Xenopus tropicalis: one gene and its partner. The protein of the gene in region 2 purifies or fractionates together with the protein of the main gene of each other region. This does not show direct contact. Links are inferred from orthologs where the notes say so. Each region holds a gene or a part of one and is shown on either strand. Other genes may lie near its edges.

Evidence for each region.
Region 1: the proteins of asb2 (region 2) and rnf7 purify together in Homo sapiens (affinity purification with western blotting; 3 studies listed by BioGRID and IntAct, with this or other methods). This does not show direct contact. The link is inferred for Xenopus tropicalis from reciprocal best matches to the Homo sapiens genes ASB2 and RNF7.

The regions. Positions count from the first base shown.
Region 1 is NC_030681.2:129,413,513-129,419,446, reverse strand, and holds the start of rnf7 (RING-box protein 2), read right to left. Parts: upstream 4,008-5,934; 5' UTR 3,969-4,007; coding exon 3,836-3,968; intron 1,316-3,835; coding exon 1,268-1,315; intron 1-1,267. UniProt on the Homo sapiens protein: Catalytic component of multiple cullin-5-RING E3 ubiquitin-protein ligase complexes (ECS complexes), which mediate the ubiquitination and subsequent proteasomal degradation of target proteins.
Region 2 is NC_030684.2:88,132,173-88,138,267, forward strand, and holds the start of asb2 (ankyrin repeat and SOCS box protein 2), read right to left. Parts: upstream 3,721-6,095; 5' UTR 3,491-3,720; intron 1-3,490. UniProt on the Homo sapiens protein: Substrate-recognition component of a SCF-like ECS (Elongin-Cullin-SOCS-box protein) E3 ubiquitin-protein ligase complex which mediates the ubiquitination and subsequent proteasomal degradation of target proteins.

The DNA.
Region 1 (5,934 bases), on a different chromosome or scaffold from region 2:
AAGAAAGTTAGTGTGAATAGCAAAATTCTGCACATTTGGGTAATTCTGTAACTCATTGTTTATTATTAGCCTTTGTTTATATAGCACCAATATATCCATATACAGAGAGTATGTGCCACTCACATCAGTCCCTGTCCCAGTGTTTACAACCTAATGCAACTGTCACATTAACATCAAATATGGTCAGTTCTATCAGCTGCCAATTAACCTGCCTGTTTGTATATATACTGTTGTGACCAAAAGAATCCATGATGGTCACAAAAGGTAAAATAAATTTGTTATTCAAAGCTAAATTAAAAAATTAACATATCCAAATGCCCTACGCGTTTCGTGTCCTATGAGCACTTAATCATGTCCTTTGCCCACGGATATCAGCTCCCTAAGCTAAGGGTCTGGAGCACCTGGACCATCTTTTCCACTTGGTAAGTGTACTTTATAAGCCCATTGTTGCTTTGTGCGAGTACCAAGAGGAAATGCAAGCAAGCACAGGGGGCACATACATCAAACCAAGGAAACCAGTGCTGCAAGGCAGCTAATGCTACCACTGCACCAATGCGCTGTCTCAGTACAGGAGACAAAATGTTGTTCCAGCAAGTGTAATTCAATATTTAGGTAAAATGTCTAAACGGTTACATCCCATAATCATCACTAATAACATTGCTGGTTTGAGAAGCTTGGAGTTGATTTACCCTTATGGCATACAATGTTCTTTTAACTACTGAGGTACAATCTTCTCACCTGCATTTACTCCCCAATCAAATGGAAGTGCTGGCAATGTCAAGGGGGGGGGGGATTATTTTGGGGAGGTTGGGTAGGGCCCAAAGTCATAGCCACTTAACATATTACAAAGATGCTGGTACATAGCTTAGTGAGAAAGGATCAGTGCAATCATTAATAAACTACAGAACCAGTCCGATTACAAACACTGGGGGTACCTGGCATATTGGCACCCAACCCTGTGTATTAGCCTCCCCTTATCCTATAACAGATCATGTACTTCCTGATTTTCGCTGCCTTCAAGCTTATTTCTAATGTGGAGAGCTAGGCAAACACTGACAGGAAATAAAGTATAGAAAGATAAAGATCAGCTCTAGGAGACAATTCCAATCAGGATAAAAAGCAAGCACTGCTTAAGACATTTGCCCTTCACTATGAAGGAATGACCCCATGCACACAGTGACGTAAGCCCAGCATCTTAATCCACTCACTACTAGGTAGCCATGAACTCTCTCCCCGGGCTTAGAAATCCAGTCAGTTATTAACATACCCACACAGTCCTCCTGTTTGTTCTCAGCTTGGCAGCGCAGGCAGGCATCTAGAAAGGAAAACACACCTTCCATTAAAATATTTCCTCTTATAACCCTCTTCTGCCCAGCAGCAAAAAATAAATTATATAATGTGGCTAAACAGGAAGGAATTCCATGCAGAAGAGGCTTGAATCCAATCTGAGGTGCATGTGTGTATATAATCACAGACAGACCTATCTGACATGAGATTTTTCATTTCTACATAGACCAGGGTGAGGTAGGGATTTAATGCCAATGTAAATTAATGGGATAGTCGCAGGAACTGAATGGGTCCATGAGAGTCACAGGAAGACTAGTATGGATAAAAGAGGACGGAACTGTACCCAAACTGTTGTCACAAAGTAGAAAACATGGAACCGTCATTAACAGTATAGTACACTGTTTCTTTCAATGGGGCCCTAACTGATTATTATTCCTCCCCACCAAGCTTTAAATCTGCATTATGCATTCAGGTAGGGAGTGTCCAGCTGGTGTCTGTCACCCACACTCATTTGGTAAACAACTAGGATGGTAACAAGGGATTCATCTGACAAAGGCCTGTTCCCACTGCTCCCAATATCCTCCCCAGGAGAAGCTTAGCATTCCAAATGTTAGGCTTGCGTGACACTGCCCTCTCATAGAAATCCTTATTCTTACTTTACCAACAGTTCTTGTGCTGCCATTGCTTTCAGGAACAGTGTGGAGCTCAGAAGTGAGTGTTCCAACTGACGGATATGTGCTGTAATCTGCGCTCAGCATTGCCTGCGAGTATCCAGGCCCCACTACTTCACTTTCCCACCTACATCTCACCAGCACCAAAATCTCACAAACTAAATAGCAACAAAACAGACATCTTATGATGATGCCATGTTAAAAATCACTAAGTTTGGCAATATTTGTTGCTGGTGCTTCATTATACCCCCAGATCAGTAATGAGACTGAAGTGTGGCTTAAATAATAACTTCCACTAATCTGAAGGGGAGTCTGGATACTTCAAACCATATAGTGTTTGTTTGTGTATATTTCACAATATAGAGAACTAGATCCTTTATTAACATCAATGCTGTGGGACAAGTAGCCAACACTTTATGTTTTTTATCATTTATTTGAATAAATGATGTGACACAATGGGGTGTATGGGAATAAATGATGTGACACATTGGGGTGTATGGGAATAAATGATGTGACACATTGGGGTGTATGGGAATAAATGATGTGACACAATGGGGTGTATGGGAATAAATGATGTGACACAATGGGGTGTATGGGAATAAATGATGTGACACAATGGGGTGTATGGGAATAAATGATGTGACACAATGGGGTGTATGGGAATAAATGATGTGACACAATGGGGTGTATGGGAATAAATGATGTGACACAATGGGGTGTATGGGAATAAATGATGTGACACAATGGGGTGTATGGGAATAAATGATGTGACACATTGGGGTGTATGGGAATAAATGATGTGACACAATGGGGTGTATGGGAATAAATGATGTGACACATTGGGGTGTATGGGAATAAATGATGTGACACATTGGGGTGTATGGGAATAAATGATGTGACACAATGGGGTGTATGGGAATAAATGATGTGACACAATGGGGTGTATGGGAATAAATGATGTGACACAATGGGGTGTATGGGAATAAATGATGTGACACATTGGGGTGTATGGGAATAAATGATGTGACACAATGGGGTGTATGGGAATAAATGATGTGACACATTGGGGTGTATGGGAATAAATGATGTGACACATTGGGGTGTATGGGAATAAATAATGTGACACAATGGGGTGTATGGGAATAAATGATGTGACACAATGGGGTGTATGGGAATAAATGATGTGACACAATGGGGTGTATGGGAATAAATGATGTGACACAATGGGGTGTATGGGAATAAATGATGTGACACAATGGGGTGTATGGGAATAAATGATGTGACACAATGGGGTGTATGGGAATAAATGATGTGACACAATGGGGTGTATGGGAATAAATGATGTGACACAATGGGGTGTATGGGAATAAATGATGTGACACAATGGGGTGTATGGGAATAAATGATGTGACACAATGGGGTGTATGGGAATAAATGATGTGACACAATGGGGTGTATGGGCAGTAGTGTAACTGGTGGGCATGGGTGCAGTCCCACAGGGAATATCATGGCAAAATCCAAACAGATGGGGCAGATGGGGGGGTGAAAGCATTGGCACAGGGAGGGGGGGAAGGATGCTAAATAGCCAAGGGGCTATAGCAACATTACTGTCTATGGAGATTTGAGTCATCCAGGGGGGCATAAAAAGCTACTAGGAATGGGATGTCCCTCTCCCCCCAGGATGACAATACAGGAAGGGTAATGGTATATTCCATATACCGCCTGTGTGCGCCTGTCATTTCAGTAGGTGACAGTAACCCCCGGCCCCCACCAGAGACTGTATGGCCGATTCCCCAAGCAGGGCTGCTGCTGGCAGCGGAAGGTAATTCCCGCAACACGAAGCCTTCGCCCCAGTGCCAGCGAGCTGTATCTCTCACCCATGACCTGCACCCTGCAGATAGCGCACGTATCGCACTCCACATCCCAGCTCCACATCGCCACCGCGTTCCATTTCTTCAAGGAGAACATCTTGGGTCCGCTCGCTCCGTGCTCCTCCCGCAAAGCAGCCATACCGGCAGGGGGCGGCTCCTCAGATAGCCAATCCTTTCGATGTGCTGCGGTAATTGACCCAATGAGAGAAGAGCACAGGCTAAGCTAAGCCAATCGCTTTAGCAAAATATATCTGTAGAGCCAATCCCAGTACGCAAGACATAGGGTTACGCCCCTAGAGAAGCAACCAATAGCTATACTGGTTCTATTCGCCCGAAACAGTTAAGGGAAAGGCGCTGCGATTTGTTGCTGGGGCGGAGCATGGTGTTGCCTGATGTCAGTATTTGTGTTTAGTGACAAATATAATGAACATTAGGTTTATATTTAAAAGTGTTATCATTGATATATTCCTAGGTGAGGATGATTTTGCTCGTTTATCAACCCTGGGTGAATTTGCACATGGGCAGTAACCTATAGCAACCAATGACCAATTAGCTTCATTTCAGTCAGCTGCATGTAGAGTATTTATGTATGTATGTGTATATATATATATATATATATCTTTATTTATAAAGCGCTACTTATGTACGCAGCGCTGTACAGTAGAATACATTAATGTAAACAGGGTGTTAATAAGATAATAGATAAATACAAAGTATAACAATAAATACAGATAAATACAGCTGCAATAAGTTAAGAGTCAAAGACACAAGAGGATGGAGGTCCCTGCCCCGTAGAGCTTACAATCTATATGGGAGGGGTAACTTACAGACACAAATAGGCAAATATAAGTGCTGTAGGTCACAGTGGGTGACACTACAATATAAGTGCCAGTTCCCAGATCAGGTGCTGGGTGAGTCTAAAGTCTTTTAGTTTAGTCTTAAAAAGACTGGGGGAGGATTCTCTCCGGAGGACATCAGGGAGGGCATTCCAAATGTAAGGGGCAGAAAGGTTTAAGGCGGGAAACCGCAGTAGTAGTGGGGGGCGCAACCAAGCGATTGCTCTGCGAGGAACGAAGGAGTCGGCCAGGAACGTACGGAGACACAAGGGAAGAGATGTAGTGAGGAGCAGAGGAATAGAGGGCTTTGAAGGTTAGGAGGAGTTTGTAAAGGTGGCCATACACGAGGCGATTTCGCTCGTTGTGCGATGAACGATTATATCGACAAACGATCGTATGGCGATCGAGTTCCCATACGATATGCCATCCACGGGCAACGATAATTCGGGAAAGATTTTGTCGCATCATTATCGTAAAATACCTACGATCGTACATCTACGTACGATCGATGTCGTTGACTTCTGCTGCTGGCAATCGTGACATGCGCAGAGAACAATCGTTGAAAGACAAATGTCTGACACTCACACCAACTGGCAGATTTTATCGTTAAACGACCAAAATTTTTAAACCTGGCCGATCGATTTTGGGGACGGTAATGTCGGCTCGTTTAGTGGGCCGACGATCGTTCGTACACCACCAACTATACGATAACTTAACGATAGCATCGGATCGTTCGGGAATCGGTCGTTTGTAAGTAAAAAATCGGTCCGTGTATGGCCACCTTTAGATATAGAGTGAAAGCAAACAATTGATTTATCTGATCAGAAGTTCTCAGTCCAATTTTATTTATATATTTGATGAATTAGATTTCCCCTTTTTTATACGGTTTCCATGTTCTGTGAGAGTGGGTTCTCTCTCCACGACACGGGACCAGCTCGCAAGGTTGGCAATCGCTGCCTGGGAAGTTGAACTTGGGTCCCTGGGGAACTAGATGATTCAAAAATATGTTCATTAGGTCCCACACAGTCATTCTGACAGATCTTCCTGCAAACTTGTCAAACCAAAGATTATCAGCCAATTATCTGCCAATGCACTATATCAGTGAGTGAGGGTACGGCGCATTAGCAAATCATTTAGTGATTTTTAGAAAATAATTTACATTTGCAAGTACGGTTAGTATCAGCCGGATGACACTTAGCTACACTAAGCTCACACTGTATATGTGCAGGCTCTATGGATATAGGTAGGGGGGAAGGTATGAATGTGGTC
Region 2 (6,095 bases):
TTTTGCCCAATATTTTGGTGAGATGTCTCTGAAACTGTATTAAAATTATGAGGTGTTGCAAATAAACACTTGAAATATTTTAGATATTGGTTCCAAAGGTCTACAGAAGCCCCAAGGAGGTTTAGTACTGAAAAAGAGCTACTCCCTGTATATCCAATGAATAACATAAATGGACATTGATTAATCACCCATTTAGACTGATGTCATCTTGTTTTAGGTAGAATTCTCCACACACACTTGGAATGTTGGACTTCACAGTTGCAATGCAGATCCTATTACACTGTATAGTTAGGCACATGACAGTGAAGCAAATTGTTGGAGAGTATACAGTGGCTGTCTCTAAATAACAACAAAGACATCTAATAAACTTCACAGTGTTTATTTTTAGATTCAGGAATATATTTCTGTCTGCACTATGAAGTCTTATTGATGTTATGTTTTGCTCCCCAAGATTATGGATGGCTACTCAAAGCATGTTTGTAAGCAGCAAGAGAAGAGATACTTAGCATAGTTGTCACACTGAAAACACCTACTCTAACTGGGGATAAATTGTTACAAATGAATGGTATCAACAATTACGGCGTATAATATATTTATTTACCAGTAGGTATTTTCAGCCGACATAAGGGCATGCATTCCAGTTAAAAGAAAGAAGGTTCCATCCTAATTTTCGAGAAAGGGTTTTTTACAGTAAGAGTTGTGAAGTTGTGGAATTCTCACCCTGAATCAGTCGCTGGTTTTTTAACCAGCCTACAGGTCTTTGGAAAAGACCTGCTAAGAGAACTGATTCTCTGTTTTTTACTGTATTGTTATATGTATGTGCATATGAATTAACCTAAGGGTAAACCTGTGGGGTTAATTGAGGGGTCATTTATGAGTGCACTAAAAATGACGCAATGGGGAGTGCAATTCAGTAAGATAATTAATCTGTTTTAAAAAAGAAAGAAGCCATCTATTGCATGCTGTTTACCACTAAACTTCTTGTGACCAATAAATGTTTTGCATGCAACACCACAAATTTAGTTAGAAACTAGCTCCTGCTCTGTCATATGGGTGCACATTGTTTCAACTCTGACTTTTCTAATGAATATTAAGTGATGCAGGGTGACTCTGAAACTGTTTCCCCCCTTGGCTTGGTGGTTACACCAAGGTTTCAACGGTGGCTTGCATCAATAGATGCACCAGACTTGGGTCCAGTAAGTTGAATGCAAATGCCATTTTAAATGTACACCTTTACCCTGGAAATGCTATATGCATCTTGCACCTGATTTGCATCAGTATTCAAGCACACTGTGCTGGAATTGTGTGTAATTGTGGCAACAAAAATCAGGCACAATGCTGGAATTGTGGCACAAAACTTGATGAATTGTGTCCAAAATTGCACTTTTCACACTGTTGTAAATGACTCCTTTAGTATTATATTTACAAGGTTACTTAGCATTCGGGGTGTTCATCACTTAGGTTTCTTAATAAGAAATTTGCAATTGAAGTTTGACCTTGTCTAGATCATAGTCATTTCTCTTATTTATATTTTAATAGGTACAAACTTGGCTTGAGCACAACTCATTTAGAGCTGGAAAGTATAATATAACCTCAAGCTAAGCACTGATTGTAGAGTGGATACATACAAAAGAATTCCTTAAAATGCCTTATACAAAAAGATTTACTTTCACTTGATTTATAATGAATTATCAGTAAGTTAAATGATATTGATTACTCTGTGTACAGTCTTATGTATGTTAAATTATTAATACGAATGTGATCAGCAGTTTATTGTTATCTTGAAAGCTGTAATTAAATCCCATCTATAAACAGTGTATTCGTAAACACCTTTAAAATCAACCTGCAGCCAAATCAACCATTTTGTGCAACCTTTAGCTGGCCACATATAGACAGTAATGTTGTCCAATAACAGGACTTCATTACATCACAAGGGGTGACATACATAACATCATAGCTATCTTGAGTCTCTAAGCCACTTACATCTGATGTTTGAAAACTTGATAACATGTACTTATAATCTTAGGAGGCATTCTGTTAAATAGGACAGAGAAATGTAAATGTATTACTAAAGTTATATCATATTGCCTTGGCTGGAGGCTTGTGTAATTTTCCCAGCACTGATCCCAGTAAGCAAGCTCAGCAGTTCAGCACAGTGCATATCGTTTTACAGTGTGAACCTTGCAAAATACAACACTCTTTTAAACATGAGCAACTGCCAACTTCCATTTAACTTCATTCATCACTGTAATTCAAAGCAGGATCCTGTTGCAGAGATTTTGCTCCTTGGTTGTTATAAAAAAAGATACATGATAAATGTTGTTATAGTGTAATTAGTCAGCCTCAGAAGTTCCCTTTATGTAAGTTCCCTCTTACGTATAATGATACATGATCTGATAAATTGCTTGATGTTTACTTATAGGTTTTAACAGCTGACTGAACTGTGGTTAAGCAACAGTCAGACATAATAACATGTTTCACTTATGCAATATCACTTAATACGGGAAACTAAATTTGAAGCACCAATATTGGCATCTTCCAAAGATCAAACCTAGCAAGTAAACAAATCCAGAGCAGCACCATCTGTCAGTCTATATAAAACTGCCTGTGAAATAAATTTGGCCAGGAGAACACTGTATATTCATCATTACCAGGTCAAATGTAGTTCCGTGGCAAAGACCAGCCTGTCTGTCTAGATCAATGACACTGACTTGCTTGGCCTGACCATGCATCTTTATCCAATGTCAGTGCACCTTGTACTGCACCACACTACATGTCATATTGCTATTGATAAGCTACTTACTGCACAGTAGATCAATGTTGGAAAAGCTGTGCCTGACATCCTTTCATGTTCAAAGTTGCAGTTTATCAACTAAAAAGCTAAAAATAGGAAAAAAATCTCTTTCTGTTGGTTATTTTTTTTTTGTTATGGTAATTATTTTTAATCTTAGCAAGGTATTTCTAAATATGGTTCCTTTCTGTGACCCTTAATTGGAATGGCAAAGAAGTGAAAAAGCAGCGAAAATGCATGGCTGTATGTGTATACTTTTTAAAAGGATTTCATTTTTTTTTAAATATTTGCAAGAATAAAATAACTTGGCTGATTGCTGGAGACTGCTACATTCCTTGCAAGTTACTGCCCAGACATTAAGTTAAGACTCTGTGCTCAGTCTCGGTCTGGGATTGCCAGTGGTATAGGTAGCCAAGCTAAATTAAAAGCATGAATAGCATTTTAAATAAAATGACTATAGTGATTTGCAAATAAATTATAATTTAAGAAGAGAAGCATTCTTAATCCTTGAATACATAAAAAAGAAAATGGAAGCTCTCAGAGCAAAGTACAAAGTTTGCTCTAACTTGCTTTAATTATTTGCCTTCTCATATTTGTTTTCTCTGTAAAACACCAAATACTTCATTGAATAGTATTCAGTGCAGCATTATAAAAGAATGCATTGTTTGAGGATGCTGGTAGAATGCATGCTAGCGTTACCTTTATATTTCCAGGAGAATGAAATGAGCTTGTTAAAGTGCCTAGGGCTCACAGACAGCCCATAAGTTGCACCCTTGTCCTCCCCTGCAGCAGGTTGCCTCTGCCTCTGCGAAACTGCCCTGTAACACAGACTTTGTAGGCTACAGTTTATTTCTGGAGCACCGCATGATCAGACACGACAAGCCAAAACTCTGTCATGTAGCTCAGATTTCTTATGCAGAGATTAGAAGAGCCAGCTCTGCCATCCAGAATAATATTCCCTGTTGCATTGGCCTGCAGCAGATATTACTGGATCCCGTGGAGAAGTTGCACAGAGGGCTCACTCCTCCCTTGTCTCATTGTTTATACATCCTGACAATAGGCCTTATAAGGATACATTCTTAAGAAAAAAAGAAATGATTTTGGTATTCTTCCTTAGAGGTATCTGAGCCAAGTCATCACTTGTAACAAGTCCTTGATTTCCAACTGAACACTTAAAATTATTTGGCACAATCCCAGACTCATGCCATATAAATATATGTTTTAATTCCTTCTTCCAGAAGGAATGCAATAACAGTTGGAAAGATTTTATTGTTTAGACGTAAACGTAATTTTCTTTTAATTGTAACTTTTTTTTGGCTCAGTCAAACATTTGTTTTCTATATTCTGTGAAAAAAAAGTACAGAAAATGGCTGATTGTAAATTAAAGGCATATTTACAAGAGGCTGTTAATTGTGTACAGTGTGGAAGAACCACAGGTATATGTAGGCATTTGCATATGACTGTAATGAATTACAATTTCCAATGCTAAATACATGTCCTGTTCTTCAGCATGGAGAAAGCAGTTTCTTTTTGCACATGCAGACCTACCTCTCTGAGAGCTCTTCCACTGGAACATCCTCCTTTTGGTATGAGTGGAAAGATAATGCCTCCAGATGCAAGAATATGTCCTTTTCTTTCAAAACTTCACTGGAATGGTTTGGTAGTTTTCTTTGCCTTTTACAATATGCCCCATACATTATGGCTATGACTAAGTACCCCTCTTGGTACAAAATGTGTAAGGCTTTTTGGCATTGTGTACGGACATAATAAACTGAAAATGTTTTGACTCTAAATTGAGCTGCTTTGAAACATGTTTTGGTGATCCTGAGTGCCTGCCTGCATTTCCAGTGTATACTTTATTAATAACACAAGTTTAGATCTGCAGTATGTATTGCTTTTTGGTGTATATTTAGAATACACCTGAGAGCCATCTCTTAATAAAGCACACTCAATTGGGTACCTATTTAGCAGCACACATATAAATCAGCTGACATAGATAGGTGATGCAAAGTTTGATCATGTGGCTACTGTGTACCTTCAGATTTTCAGGTTGCCCACACCCTATAGGACCCTCCTTTGCAGTGCACCTTTAAGGTGTCCACACACATAACAAGTGAACCTTTATATTACCCACAGAGTGCTCCTTTAGGCCAGCCATACTAATGTAAATTTCAATCACCTATACATTTTCATGTTTGTCAGTAACAATGCACATAAAAAATTATTTATATAGTGAAATGGTCAAGCATTTGTGAAACAAGGCAGATGAAGAATGGAGTTTTAACATAGAAAAAACTACGTATGTTGTAAAAGTGACAAAAATAAAAAAGTGCAAAAGAATGGTATCTTTAGGGCTTATGCATCTGATGTGTGTTTGAGTGCACCTACAACACATCAGCTATCTGATTCCATTATATTCAACCAAAAACATACTTTGGCTCATTTAAAACCCACATATAAAGGCAATATATGTGTTTTTATGTGCTTTTATTTTTTTATTCTATAGCACAAATCTTTTATTCCATCATATTTACAATCATATCTGATATCTGCAAACATCTTTCACTGGTTGCCTAAACAAGTACCCACCAGGCCTTTTGTGTTTAATTGACTTCTTAATAATGCATATCCCATGGTTTGGCTCAGAAAGCCCTAAGAAAAGAAATAAACACCCCCACACAGTCGTTCTTGATGAAGGTCACTCCATGGAGCTTCCCATTGTTGTTAATTAGAAGCTGCCCATGGCAATTCTCAGCATTTTGAATGCTTCTTCTGAGTAGCAAAGAACAAAAGGCTACATGTGCCACTGCCCTTAAAGTCCATTAGTCAGTGGAGTAATTAAGGTATTACAAACAAGCAGAAAAAATACAAAGGTAACAGTTGGTGTTGTTTTACGAAAAATGTATATCTTGATTAACAGGTAAATAAATAGCAATGAAAACTGTGAAATAGTTATATTCCATGAATTTAGTATATATACATTCATATGTTTTTTTTTTTTTTTTAAATCTTAATCTATTCACTGGAGCTGCAAATGGCACTTTACTCCTTTAGTTAATTAAAAGTTGGGTTCATTATGCCCTGAAAGCAATTGTGGACAGGTCTGTTGAAAGTCATCCACTGCTGCATAACAATAAGCCATTGTAAAGGAAACCTGACTCTGGTTAGAGATGGCACAGAACAGCTGCAATCAGCTAGGCAATAAAACCTGAATGCATTGTCTCTGCTATGTATAACTCTATGTAACTCTGCAATTTACATTCATTTTCAGTTAGAGCAGTGACTAAGAAATAACAAAGCATAT